Linked DNA regions of Saccharomyces cerevisiae S288C. The gene in region 3 interacts genetically with the main gene of each other region. Each region holds a gene or a part of one and is shown on either strand. Other genes may lie near its edges. The genes, in order: MOD5, HDA1 and MEF1.

Evidence for each region.
Region 1: mutations in MEF1 (region 3) and MOD5 together harm fitness more than expected from each alone (negative genetic interaction), as found in Saccharomyces cerevisiae (2 studies listed by BioGRID).
Region 2: mutations in MEF1 (region 3) and HDA1 impair growth when combined (synthetic growth defect), as found in Saccharomyces cerevisiae (one study listed by BioGRID).

The regions. Positions count from the first base shown.
Region 1 is NC_001147.6:835,888-839,460, forward strand, and holds MOD5 (tRNA dimethylallyltransferase), read left to right. Parts: upstream 1-1,786; coding exon 1,787-3,073; downstream 3,074-3,573. Other genes in the region: TPO4 (Tpo4p), read right to left, coding at 1-544; RIM20 (Rim20p), read right to left, coding at 3,197-3,573. UniProt on the Saccharomyces cerevisiae protein: Catalyzes the transfer of a dimethylallyl group onto the adenine at position 37 in the anticodon loop on a specific subset of tRNAs both in the cytosol and the mitochondrion, leading to the formation of N6-(dimethylallyl)adenosine (i(6)A).
Region 2 is NC_001146.8:591,531-595,981, forward strand, and holds HDA1 (histone deacetylase HDA1), read left to right. Parts: upstream 1-1,696; coding exon 1,697-3,817; downstream 3,818-4,451. Other genes in the region: rRNA (cytosine-C5-)-methyltransferase RCM1, read right to left, coding at 1-1,369; serine/threonine protein kinase ARK1, read right to left, coding at 4,093-4,451. UniProt on the Saccharomyces cerevisiae protein: Responsible for the deacetylation of lysine residues on the N-terminal part of the core histones (H2A, H2B, H3 and H4).
Region 3 is NC_001144.5:270,979-275,416, reverse strand, and holds MEF1 (Mef1p), read left to right. Parts: upstream 1-1,501; coding exon 1,502-3,787; downstream 3,788-4,438. Other genes in the region: RGR1 (Rgr1p), read left to right, coding at 1-39; D-xylulose reductase XYL2, read left to right, coding at 206-1,276; FYV7 (Fyv7p), read right to left, coding at 3,954-4,409. UniProt on the Saccharomyces cerevisiae protein: Mitochondrial GTPase that catalyzes the GTP-dependent ribosomal translocation step during translation elongation.

The DNA.
Region 1 (3,573 bases), on a different chromosome or scaffold from region 3:
TTCTCATGTGGCCATTGGATAACCCAACACCCATGGTGAAAAGCATTGACACAGGTAGGGAAAATAAATAGACAGGCTTACGACCAAACACTTCACTTAATGGAGCGCCGATGACAGTCGATAAACCCAGAAGATAGAAAGTTAAACCAGCAAGCGCCAAAGTCTGACTAACGTGATATCTTTCTACCAATTCTGGTACGGAAGAAACATATAGGGAACTACCCATTGTGACGACCAAACAAAGAAAAGCTGAAGTCATAGTAGTATACCATTTCTTCAAAGAGGACCAATTATGCGGATTGTCTGGGTCATCGGGCCCGTCCCAATCGAGATCTCTTGGGTCAATTGGCTCGCCCCCTGTCATGTTATTGGAATCTGCATTCGGTTCTGATCTTTTTTCGTCCTCTGTTATTGACCCTGTCGAAGAAGAAGTCGAATCCAAGTTGCCGCTATTAGTTACATTTTTGTCCAAGGCTTTTGGTACCTGCTGTATGTTTGTTCGAGGATCTGAGTTAGATTCGGTTTTTGTCAAAGAAGAAGGCATTAGTAAAACTTAAAATATATGTATACGATGTCTATGCTTCTTTGTGTGTGTATGTGTGTGTATAAGATGGTATCTTTATTCTGTAATTTTCAGGAAAGTGATGACTAGAAAATCGATGTGTCAGGTACAACAAATTGACAACCTATAACTTTCCATACAGGCGAATATATATATACACATAAACACATTCAAGCCTCCGGTACCGTTTGCTCTGACAAGGACAATTAGCATGTAAGCACGAGTGCGGGTATGCAATCATTTCAGTGTTTCCTTCATTTGGCATAGTGTCGTAACACGGATTTAAGGTGAGCCGTCAGGGGCTTTTAAGCGGAGCCCCTGCAGCTTCATGAAGACGGAACCGCACGGGCCTATTACCTCGGGGATAGATCAATTATCCGAAGCGGGTCACAACCCGGAAATAATAACCACTATGCCCGACCGTACCGACGTGGCACTATTTTTGGGATCCGTGGAAGTCGGCCATTAGTGGTAATCGGCGAAAACAAGTTTATTGCAGCTAAAGCACGCCATACGGTTGATATAAACAGCAATTAGGCACTTTTTCTCTTATTATTCATATGCCTTATTGGCTTGTGGCTTGTGGCTTGTAGCCTATGCAAATGCATTTGCTGATAGCAGCATAAGAAAGTTGGGAAGAAACGCTAACTGTACTTTTTATATCCAGAGTTCATTAGTTGATCTTTTACCCCAATAATTTCTTCCACTTGCGGCCTGCTTCTTCGCATTTCTCCCATTCCGGGCCGCGACTCCGTAGTTCTTACAGAAACAGCCGCCTCCATAACCATCTATGATAGGAAAAAGATGGACAAACAGGAAAAGAGCTAGGGAGTATAACCTGATTCCTGACATGTATAGGATTCGGGTAATTTTGAAATACGAAGCTCTTTGCATTCCGAGACCGGTTTAGGAAGATTTATTTACATATCTACTTGCGCTATTGTGGTCATGCCTTCGAAAGATAAAGAGCGAATTTTGCTCGTATAAGCTAAAATCAGGTAAAAGTTCCTTATGTTGCTGCTCCTCGATGGCAACGTCGATCTAAGATCTTGATTACTGAATCAGGCGAAAGCACACGTTCATCTTTCGCTCATCGGAAAGAAAATTAAAACAGAAAAAAATTCTAAAATGGCAAAAAAGAAGAAAAGCTCAGTGAGGGCTGTATAGTTTATTAGATAAGCTACTATACGTACATATCTTTTGTAAATAGAACCAAAAATCTTCATGCTAAAGGGACCGCTTAAAGGTTGCTTAAATATGTCTAAAAAAGTTATAGTGATTGCTGGTACAACAGGAGTAGGAAAGTCTCAGTTGTCCATACAATTGGCACAAAAATTTAATGGCGAAGTTATCAATTCGGATTCTATGCAGGTATATAAAGATATTCCTATTATAACAAATAAACATCCGCTTCAAGAAAGAGAGGGCATTCCTCACCATGTAATGAATCACGTAGATTGGTCAGAAGAATACTATTCCCATCGTTTTGAAACTGAATGCATGAACGCTATTGAAGATATTCACCGGAGGGGTAAGATACCCATCGTTGTTGGGGGTACTCATTATTATTTGCAGACTCTTTTCAATAAGCGGGTCGATACGAAATCATCCGAACGTAAGCTCACAAGGAAGCAGCTCGATATTTTGGAATCGACTGACCCTGATGTGATTTATAACACACTTGTGAAGTGTGATCCTGATATAGCTACCAAATACCATCCTAATGACTACAGGAGGGTACAACGAATGTTGGAAATCTACTATAAGACGGGCAAAAAACCAAGCGAGACATTTAACGAACAAAAAATAACTTTGAAGTTTGATACCCTATTTTTATGGCTATACAGTAAGCCGGAGCCACTTTTCCAAAGGCTTGACGATCGTGTAGACGACATGCTAGAAAGAGGCGCCTTGCAAGAAATCAAGCAATTATATGAATATTACAGTCAAAATAAATTTACGCCGGAGCAATGCGAGAATGGTGTTTGGCAAGTTATTGGCTTCAAAGAATTCTTACCGTGGCTAACCGGGAAAACTGATGACAACACAGTAAAATTGGAGGATTGTATAGAAAGAATGAAAACGAGAACACGTCAATACGCAAAAAGGCAGGTAAAATGGATCAAGAAAATGCTGATACCTGACATCAAAGGCGATATATACTTACTGGATGCCACTGACCTTTCTCAATGGGACACGAATGCATCTCAAAGAGCGATAGCTATTTCCAATGACTTTATTAGCAATCGACCCATCAAGCAAGAAAGGGCACCTAAAGCCCTAGAGGAGCTGTTGTCTAAAGGCGAAACTACGATGAAGAAATTGGACGATTGGACACATTATACTTGCAACGTCTGTCGTAACGCAGATGGTAAGAACGTTGTAGCTATTGGCGAAAAATATTGGAAAATTCATTTGGGTAGCAGAAGACATAAATCCAACTTGAAAAGAAACACTCGTCAAGCTGATTTTGAAAAATGGAAAATAAACAAGAAGGAGACTGTGGAATGAAAATATTAGGAAAAAGGAGTTTATCCTGAGTGTATATATCTACATAAGTGAAGCTGGGTTTTGATAATGGAAAGGGAGGATGACAAGCTCAAAATATACTTTATAGATGAATGAGGACAGGTATCATTGGTCTTCAAATGTCAAACTCTTATCAAGCCTAGCTTTTTCTGCTCTTCTTGCTGTATCATATTCCTGTACCTCATTGTACAGATTGCTGGTAGAAGTAATTAAATTTTCGTAAAATGCTGTGCCGGCACTTAAATTTTCTTTCACCTCATCAAGCAGTTTGAAGGAATATCTCAGATCTTCAATATATAGCTCTCTGGGATCTATTCTTACCATTTTCTTTGGTTCAATCCCGCTTCTGCCGGGGTTATTCTTCTTACTTAGGTTTACTTCCTCAATAAGTTTGATATTTTCTTCCTTTGTACTATTAACGTATCTTAAATCTTCGTCAAAGTATTTTAAATGGCCTATGAAAATGGGTTCAAAGTCGACTG
Region 2 (4,451 bases), on a different chromosome or scaffold from region 3:
CATCTCTAAAAACCTCTTCGAACTCTTCTACCTTGCCTCTTCTAGGCCAAGAAGGAATAACTTCTCTTTTTGGCGCTACTTTCCAACCCCATTCTCTAACTGACTTATCTAAAAGAAGGTCTATGACGACTCGTTCATTTTCTTCCGCATGAATGGAACATGTGCTGTATACTATTTTTTTAGCCGCTGGGAAACTCATTGCATGCTTTACCATCTGGAACTGAAATGAACTCAGCTTCGCTAACCTTGTCTGTAGTTCTTCCTTTGCTATAAACTCCTCTTGCTCATCCGGCACAATGCCACCATCGTCATCTTTATCATCAATTTTCCTTCTATTAAATGAGTCAAAAAACTTACGACCAAATATACCGCTACCGGAGCAGCTCGGATCTACAATAAAACAAGTAACGTCCTTATATTTTTCAGGAGTAGCGAGCTTTGTAAAATCACCTACATTGACACTGATGTTGGGAGAACAGCCAGCTATCTTGATCATTTTTTGTAAAACTTTTGCTCTTTCAGGATCCTTCTCGAAAGCGTATATTCGAGTATTATTGTCCTTCGGTGGTTCGGGATATATATAAGAGGCCGTATGGGTAGTCTTATTACCTGGAGCAGAGCAGGAATCTATCACAATATCACTTGGTCCTGGATTCAAAATGTGGGCTGGAAAACAAGAAGCACGATCTTGAATGATAATCTTCCCATGCTTATAAAGCTCATGTGCTGTAATTTTGTCAGACGGATGAATTCCAAACAAGTTTGGAATAAACTCATCATAATAGATAGACCCAGGAACTAGTTCAGACCATTTGTCTACCTTTAAAGTAAACTTCTTCCTCAATTCGGCTAACACCGGCTCAGTCTCACCATTTGGATGGCATTTTAATGGATTGATTCTAATCCATCTAACAGGAGGAAGGTCATTGGAAATATCCTCGCTTAATACCAACTCAGATAGCTCTCTTACTTTCAATTTGAGTTTCAATTTGACCATTTCGCTATGCAATGGGCTCTTAAACTTCAAAACATAATCTTTGATGGGGTGTTTGCCCATTTGAATTCTTTTCTGCTTAGACAACAGCAAATCATGGCAAAGCAATAACAAAGTTAGCCTTGAAAAGAGTGGTTTGCCCTTTTTCTTGGGTATATCTTCCAATATGTGTGCCTTTTTCATCACTTTCTCCAAATATGGTTTATATTTCCAACACGAATCGAGAACTGCATAAATATGTTTTGGATTACTTTTCAGCTTATATCTTTTACAGCTTTTCAGTACCAGCGTCTGCATAGAGCCGGAAATCCTTTCTTTTGCAGCCTCCTTCTCAATATCTTCTAGCACCCATGTTGCATCCCTGTAGAAATTCATGCTTTTTCGTAGCTAACTTCTCAGTGAAACACTTGGTGAAGAACCAGCTCTTCTCTTAACCTCATCGAATATTTTAGGCCAGTTTTTTTTTTCCTCACTTGCCATTTTCCCGCACCGTTTGGAAATCTCGAGGAAAATGCTTCTTTCCAAAAGTTTAATCAGGTCACTAATTAGGTAAATAGAGCTGGGAGGAAGCATATACAGTGTTTCGTCTGTGGAAGGAACTTTTATTTTTCTTAAATGTTTTAATTTTTAGTGACCTAATTCACATAACAAAATATTGAGAAAGGGAAAGTTGAGCACTGTAATACGCCGAACAGATTAAGCATGGATTCTGTAATGGTTAAGAAAGAAGTACTGGAAAATCCAGACCATGATTTAAAAAGAAAGCTAGAAGAGAACAAAGAAGAAGAGAATAGCCTCTCTACTACTTCTAAAAGTAAAAGGCAGGTTATTGTTCCCGTTTGCATGCCAAAAATCCATTATTCACCGCTGAAAACTGGTCTTTGCTATGACGTTAGAATGAGGTATCATGCAAAGATTTTCACATCGTACTTCGAGTACATTGATCCACATCCAGAGGACCCAAGAAGAATATATCGTATTTATAAAATACTAGCAGAGAATGGTCTGATTAACGACCCCACTTTAAGCGGCGTGGATGACCTTGGTGATTTAATGCTGAAGATACCTGTAAGAGCCGCAACCTCCGAAGAAATCTTGGAAGTTCATACAAAGGAACATTTAGAGTTTATTGAAAGCACAGAAAAAATGAGCCGAGAAGAGTTATTAAAAGAGACTGAAAAAGGTGATTCCGTATATTTCAATAATGATTCTTACGCGAGTGCTAGGCTGCCTTGTGGTGGCGCCATTGAAGCATGCAAGGCGGTTGTCGAGGGGCGTGTAAAAAACTCTCTAGCTGTCGTAAGACCACCTGGCCATCATGCAGAGCCTCAAGCTGCGGGTGGTTTTTGTCTCTTCAGTAATGTTGCTGTTGCTGCCAAGAATATCTTAAAGAACTACCCAGAAAGTGTAAGAAGGATAATGATTTTAGATTGGGATATTCATCATGGTAATGGCACACAAAAGTCATTCTATCAAGACGATCAGGTGCTATATGTGTCATTACACAGATTTGAAATGGGTAAATACTATCCTGGGACCATCCAAGGACAATATGATCAAACTGGTGAGGGTAAGGGTGAAGGATTCAATTGTAATATTACTTGGCCGGTCGGCGGTGTTGGTGATGCAGAATATATGTGGGCATTTGAACAGGTAGTTATGCCTATGGGGAGAGAATTCAAGCCTGACTTGGTGATTATTTCTTCAGGGTTTGATGCCGCGGATGGTGATACTATCGGACAATGTCATGTCACCCCAAGTTGTTATGGACACATGACACATATGTTAAAATCTCTAGCTAGAGGTAATCTTTGTGTAGTTTTGGAAGGTGGATATAACTTGGATGCGATTGCAAGAAGCGCTTTGAGTGTAGCAAAAGTACTAATAGGGGAGCCTCCTGATGAACTACCTGATCCATTAAGTGATCCCAAGCCTGAGGTCATAGAAATGATAGACAAAGTAATTCGGTTACAGTCCAAGTATTGGAACTGTTTTAGAAGGAGACATGCTAACTCCGGTTGTAATTTTAACGAACCTATTAACGACTCGATAATATCTAAAAATTTTCCTCTGCAGAAGGCTATTCGTCAACAACAGCAACACTATTTAAGCGACGAATTTAATTTCGTTACTTTACCGTTAGTAAGCATGGATTTACCAGATAATACAGTGCTATGTACTCCAAACATTTCCGAATCTAACACTATAATTATAGTCGTTCATGATACTTCTGATATCTGGGCAAAGAGAAATGTTATTTCAGGTACAATTGACTTATCCTCATCAGTTATCATTGATAATTCTCTAGACTTTATCAAATGGGGACTTGACAGGAAATACGGCATCATTGATGTAAATATACCTCTAACTCTGTTTGAACCTGACAATTACTCAGGAATGATTACATCCCAAGAAGTTCTAATATATTTATGGGATAACTACATCAAGTATTTTCCTTCTGTTGCCAAAATTGCTTTTATTGGAATAGGAGACTCATACTCAGGTATCGTACATCTGCTTGGTCACAGGGATACTAGGGCTGTTACTAAAACGGTAATTAATTTCTTGGGAGACAAGCAGTTAAAGCCACTAGTTCCTCTAGTAGATGAAACATTGAGTGAATGGTACTTCAAAAACTCACTTATATTTTCAAACAATAGCCACCAATGCTGGAAAGAAAATGAAAGCAGAAAACCAAGAAAAAAATTCGGTAGAGTTTTGAGATGTGATACGGACGGGTTAAACAATATAATTGAAGAAAGATTTGAAGAGGCTACAGACTTTATACTGGATTCGTTTGAAGAATGGAGTGATGAAGAATGAGGAAAAACTGGCCATTAATAATTTTTTTTCGGCAACCTTCATGCCTTATGAAAGTTGAATAATAATAAAGTTGTTACAATGTTCATTGTATAATCCAATATATCTAAAATAGGAAAAAGAAATGAACAAATGCATTAAGCTGTGTTTTACTAAGTATTATGGGAAAACGTATACATTAAAGTGGATGCTTACATATATAACACATTGTAATAAAGGTTCTTTGAACATGTTACCAGCCTCTTCAGAGATCGATCCGGTTCTGTTGAGCCAAATACTCACTTATCCAAGGATAACTTTCGTCCCGCGAGGAGCAGTGGTTTTGGAGGAGGTTTAGGCTTTAAATGTGAAGGCTTAGGTGGTGGGGTAGGTTTTGTTTTTTTGTCTTTTGAAATCGGGCCACTTGATTTCAGCATTGTTGGCTTATCTATCTCCCCTTTCTCATGCAGCTTGACCTTGGACATTTTCCTAGCGTTGAATGACTCCTCAGAAGAGTTGAGTTTATCGATCATACGCTGTTGAATGGAGTTCTTCAAATTCTGCTTAGATACGTCCAAATCTTCATAAGATGGTTTGTTAAGATCGTCTTTGGAATTATCAATCGTATTAACGAATGTCGACTTAAAAGGTGAATTTT
Region 3 (4,438 bases):
AATATCCTCAAAGTGGACTCGAACTCAAGTTCATCTTAGAGCGAATAAAATGTCACCGGCGCTACTATCCCTTAGGAGATTGTAACCCCTCTCCTGAATTAATTCAAAATAAAATTGAAAACTGTATAAGTATATACATAAATATATCCATACACACTAAAAAGACATATTCATACTGCCTTGAGGATAGAGAACACCATTGAGCATGACTGACTTAACTACACAAGAAGCTATTGTTCTAGAGCGACCTGGTAAAATCACCCTAACTAATGTCAGCATCCCAAAGATTTCAGATCCTAACGAAGTAATCATCCAGATCAAGGCGACAGGAATATGCGGGTCAGATATCCATTACTATACCCATGGAAGAATAGCCAATTACGTGGTAGAATCACCAATGGTGCTGGGACATGAATCATCAGGAATAGTGGCCCTCATAGGTGAGAACGTCAAGACACTTAAAGTAGGAGATAGGGTGGCACTTGAGCCCGGAATACCTGACAGGTTTTCACCGGAGATGAAAGAGGGCAGATACAACCTGGACCCCAATTTAAAATTTGCTGCGACACCTCCCTTTGATGGGACCTTGACAAAGTATTATAAGACCATGAAAGATTTCGTCTATAAACTTCCTGATGATGTGTCATTCGAGGAAGGAGCACTAATAGAGCCATTATCAGTGGCAATCCATGCTAATAAATTAGCAAAGATCAAGTTTGGAGCCCGTTGCGTCGTCTTTGGAGCTGGGCCCATAGGTTTGCTAGCCGGGAAAGTAGCCAGTGTCTTTGGTGCTGCAGATGTTGTTTTTGTAGATCTATTAGAAAACAAGCTGGAAACGGCTAGGCAGTTTGGTGCCACCCACATCGTCAACTCAGGTGATCTCCCACATGGCGTTACTGTAGATAGTGTTATAAAAAAAGCAATCGGCAAGAAAGGTGCTGACGTTGTGTTTGAATGTTCTGGTGCAGAGCCTTGCGTTCGAGCAGGCATCGAAGTCTGTAAGGCAGGTGGAACGATCGTTCAAGTTGGAATGGGACAAGAGGAAATACAATTTCCCATCTCGATCATTCCAACAAAAGAACTGACATTCCAAGGCTGTTTCCGATACTGTCAAGGTGATTATAGTGACTCCATCGAGCTAGTCTCTAGCAGAAAACTCTCGCTTAAACCATTCATTACACATCGCTATAGCTTTAAGGATGCTGTCGAGGCATTCGAAGAAACAAGCCACCACCCGTTAAATAATATCAAGACGATCATTGAGGGCCCGGAATGAAGGAAAGAAAATGTAACTTTTGGCATCCAAGATGCACAATACATTTGATTTTTTTTATATGTCTTTTATATATATATATATTAATATGATAACTTTGCATTATTATTGTGGGGATGGAACTTCACAAGCGGCCGAAATTTCCAAGATGAAAATATCTAAAAAACGAGATTTAATAAAGGAGATTGAAACGGAAGAAGGTAGAAAGCACTGCAATATATCACCAATATGAGTGTCCAGAAAATGATGTGGGTGCCTCGAAAAATGGTTGGAGGTAGAATACCCTTTTTCACATGTTCAAAAGTTTTTTCAGGTTTCTCGAGAAGGTCTTTTCATGAGAGTCCACTTGCTCGTTCTACATATGAAGAAGAAAAAGTTTTGGTGGATGAAATCAAACAAAAACTTACTCCAGACGATATTGGAAGATGTAATAAATTGCGTAACATAGGTATATCTGCTCATATTGACTCCGGAAAAACTACTTTCACTGAACGTGTTCTGTACTATACAAAAAGAATCAAAGCCATTCATGAGGTTCGTGGTAGGGATAATGTTGGAGCCAAGATGGATTCTATGGATCTTGAAAGGGAAAAGGGTATTACTATTCAGTCTGCCGCTACTTACTGCTCTTGGGATAAAGAGGGCAAAAACTATCATTTCAACTTGATCGACACTCCAGGTCATATTGATTTCACTATCGAAGTGGAGCGTGCTCTTAGAGTACTAGACGGTGCAGTTCTTGTTGTTTGTGCTGTTTCAGGTGTTCAATCCCAAACTGTGACCGTGGATCGTCAAATGCGTAGATATAATGTTCCAAGAGTAACTTTCATCAACAAAATGGATCGTATGGGTTCAGATCCCTTCCGTGCAATAGAACAACTTAATTCGAAACTAAAAATACCTGCTGCTGCTGTACAAATTCCTATCGGATCGGAATCAAGCTTATCTGGTGTCGTTGATTTGATTAATAGAGTTGCTATTTACAACAAGGGTGATAATGGTGAAATTATAGAAAAAGGGCCAGTGCCTGAAAATTTGAAGCCATTAATGGAGGAAAAAAGACAACTTTTGATCGAAACACTTGCTGATGTGGATGATGAAATGGCAGAAATGTTTTTGGAAGAAAAGGAGCCTACCACGCAACAAATTAAAGATGCTATTCGCAGATCTACAATTGCTAGGTCTTTTACACCAGTTTTGATGGGATCCGCACTGGCAAATACTGGTATTCAGCCCGTTTTGGACGCTATTGTAGACTACTTACCTAATCCCTCTGAAGTGTTGAATACAGCTCTAGATGTGAGCAACAACGAAGCCAAGGTTAACTTAGTTCCTGCGGTGCAACAGCCATTTGTTGGATTGGCATTCAAATTGGAAGAAGGCAAATATGGTCAATTGACTTATGTTCGCGTATATCAGGGGCGTTTAAGAAAAGGTAATTACATTACAAATGTAAAGACTGGTAAAAAAGTGAAGGTTGCAAGATTGGTCAGGATGCATTCTAGTGAGATGGAAGATGTTGATGAAGTTGGCTCAGGTGAAATTTGCGCTACTTTTGGTATTGACTGTGCTTCTGGAGATACATTCACTGATGGTAGCGTTCAATACTCTATGTCATCCATGTATGTTCCAGATGCTGTTGTCTCGTTATCGATTACGCCAAATTCAAAGGACGCATCGAATTTTTCGAAGGCTTTGAACAGATTTCAAAAGGAAGACCCTACATTCAGAGTGAAGTTCGATCCTGAATCTAAAGAAACAATTATTTCTGGGATGGGTGAATTGCATCTGGAGATTTACGTTGAAAGAATGAGACGTGAATATAATGTGGACTGTGTCACGGGTAAACCGCAGGTTTCCTATAGAGAATCTATCACCATCCCGGCAGATTTTGATTATACACATAAAAAACAATCTGGTGGCGCTGGTCAATATGGTAGAGTTATCGGTACCTTATCTCCCGTGGATGACATTACCAAAGGCAACATATTCGAGACCGCTATTGTTGGTGGCCGTATACCGGACAAGTATTTGGCTGCATGTGGTAAGGGTTTTGAAGAAGTATGTGAAAAGGGACCATTGATCGGTCATCGTGTTTTGGATGTTAAAATGCTAATCAATGATGGTGCTATTCATGCCGTGGATTCTAATGAATTATCATTCAAAACAGCTACTATGTCAGCCTTCCGTGACGCCTTCCTGAGGGCACAGCCGGTGATCATGGAACCTATCATGAATGTTTCAGTAACATCGCCAAACGAGTTTCAAGGTAACGTCATCGGTTTATTGAATAAATTACAAGCAGTAATACAGGATACCGAAAATGGTCATGATGAATTTACATTAAAAGCAGAATGTGCCTTGAGCACGATGTTCGGTTTCGCCACCTCATTAAGAGCCTCGACTCAAGGTAAAGGTGAGTTTTCATTAGAGTTTAGTCATTACGCTCCAACAGCGCCCCATGTTCAAAAAGAATTGATATCTGAGTTCCAAAAGAAGCAAGCGAAGAAATAGTCAAGTCCTCATGGGCAAAACAGTCTTGTAAATAACAAATTCCAATAAAAAGGAATTAACAAAAGGCAGGAAATAAAATTAATATACACACTAATTAAGTAAATTTAAATAAAAAGATCTTTCTGTAAATACACGAATGAAAAGAAATTTTGAAGAATATCATTATCTAGGAGGTATAAGTATCATCCGTCTTAATTTTATCCAAAAGATCCTCTATCTTAGGGCCCATCAAGGGCTGGCCTGTCCTTGTTCTTTGAGTCAATTTCTTCTTTCTATCTTCTCTCCTCTGAAATTTTTCCTTCGAAACTCTGATTCTTTCCAATTGCTCGTTTCTTTGCTTGTTTAATTCATCTTTTTGCATTCTCTTTCTTTGTTTCTTGATCTCCTTCTTCTCGTCTAGTTTCTTCTTTCCCTCTATTGCCCTGGCTTCCTTAATCTTCCTTACAGATTCTTTTGCCACGGTTTTTGGTTCCTTTTCTGGTACGGCATACCCTTCATCTTTTAAAGCTTTAAGGTATTCCTTTCTCAGTCTAGTTTTCTTTGTAATACTTCTTTGGATCTCCTTAACCTTATACTCCCTCGTAAACTTCTTTCTATTTTGATTTTGCTTGGCTGTACCCATATTGATTTTGCTCAGTTGCTTACTTGACC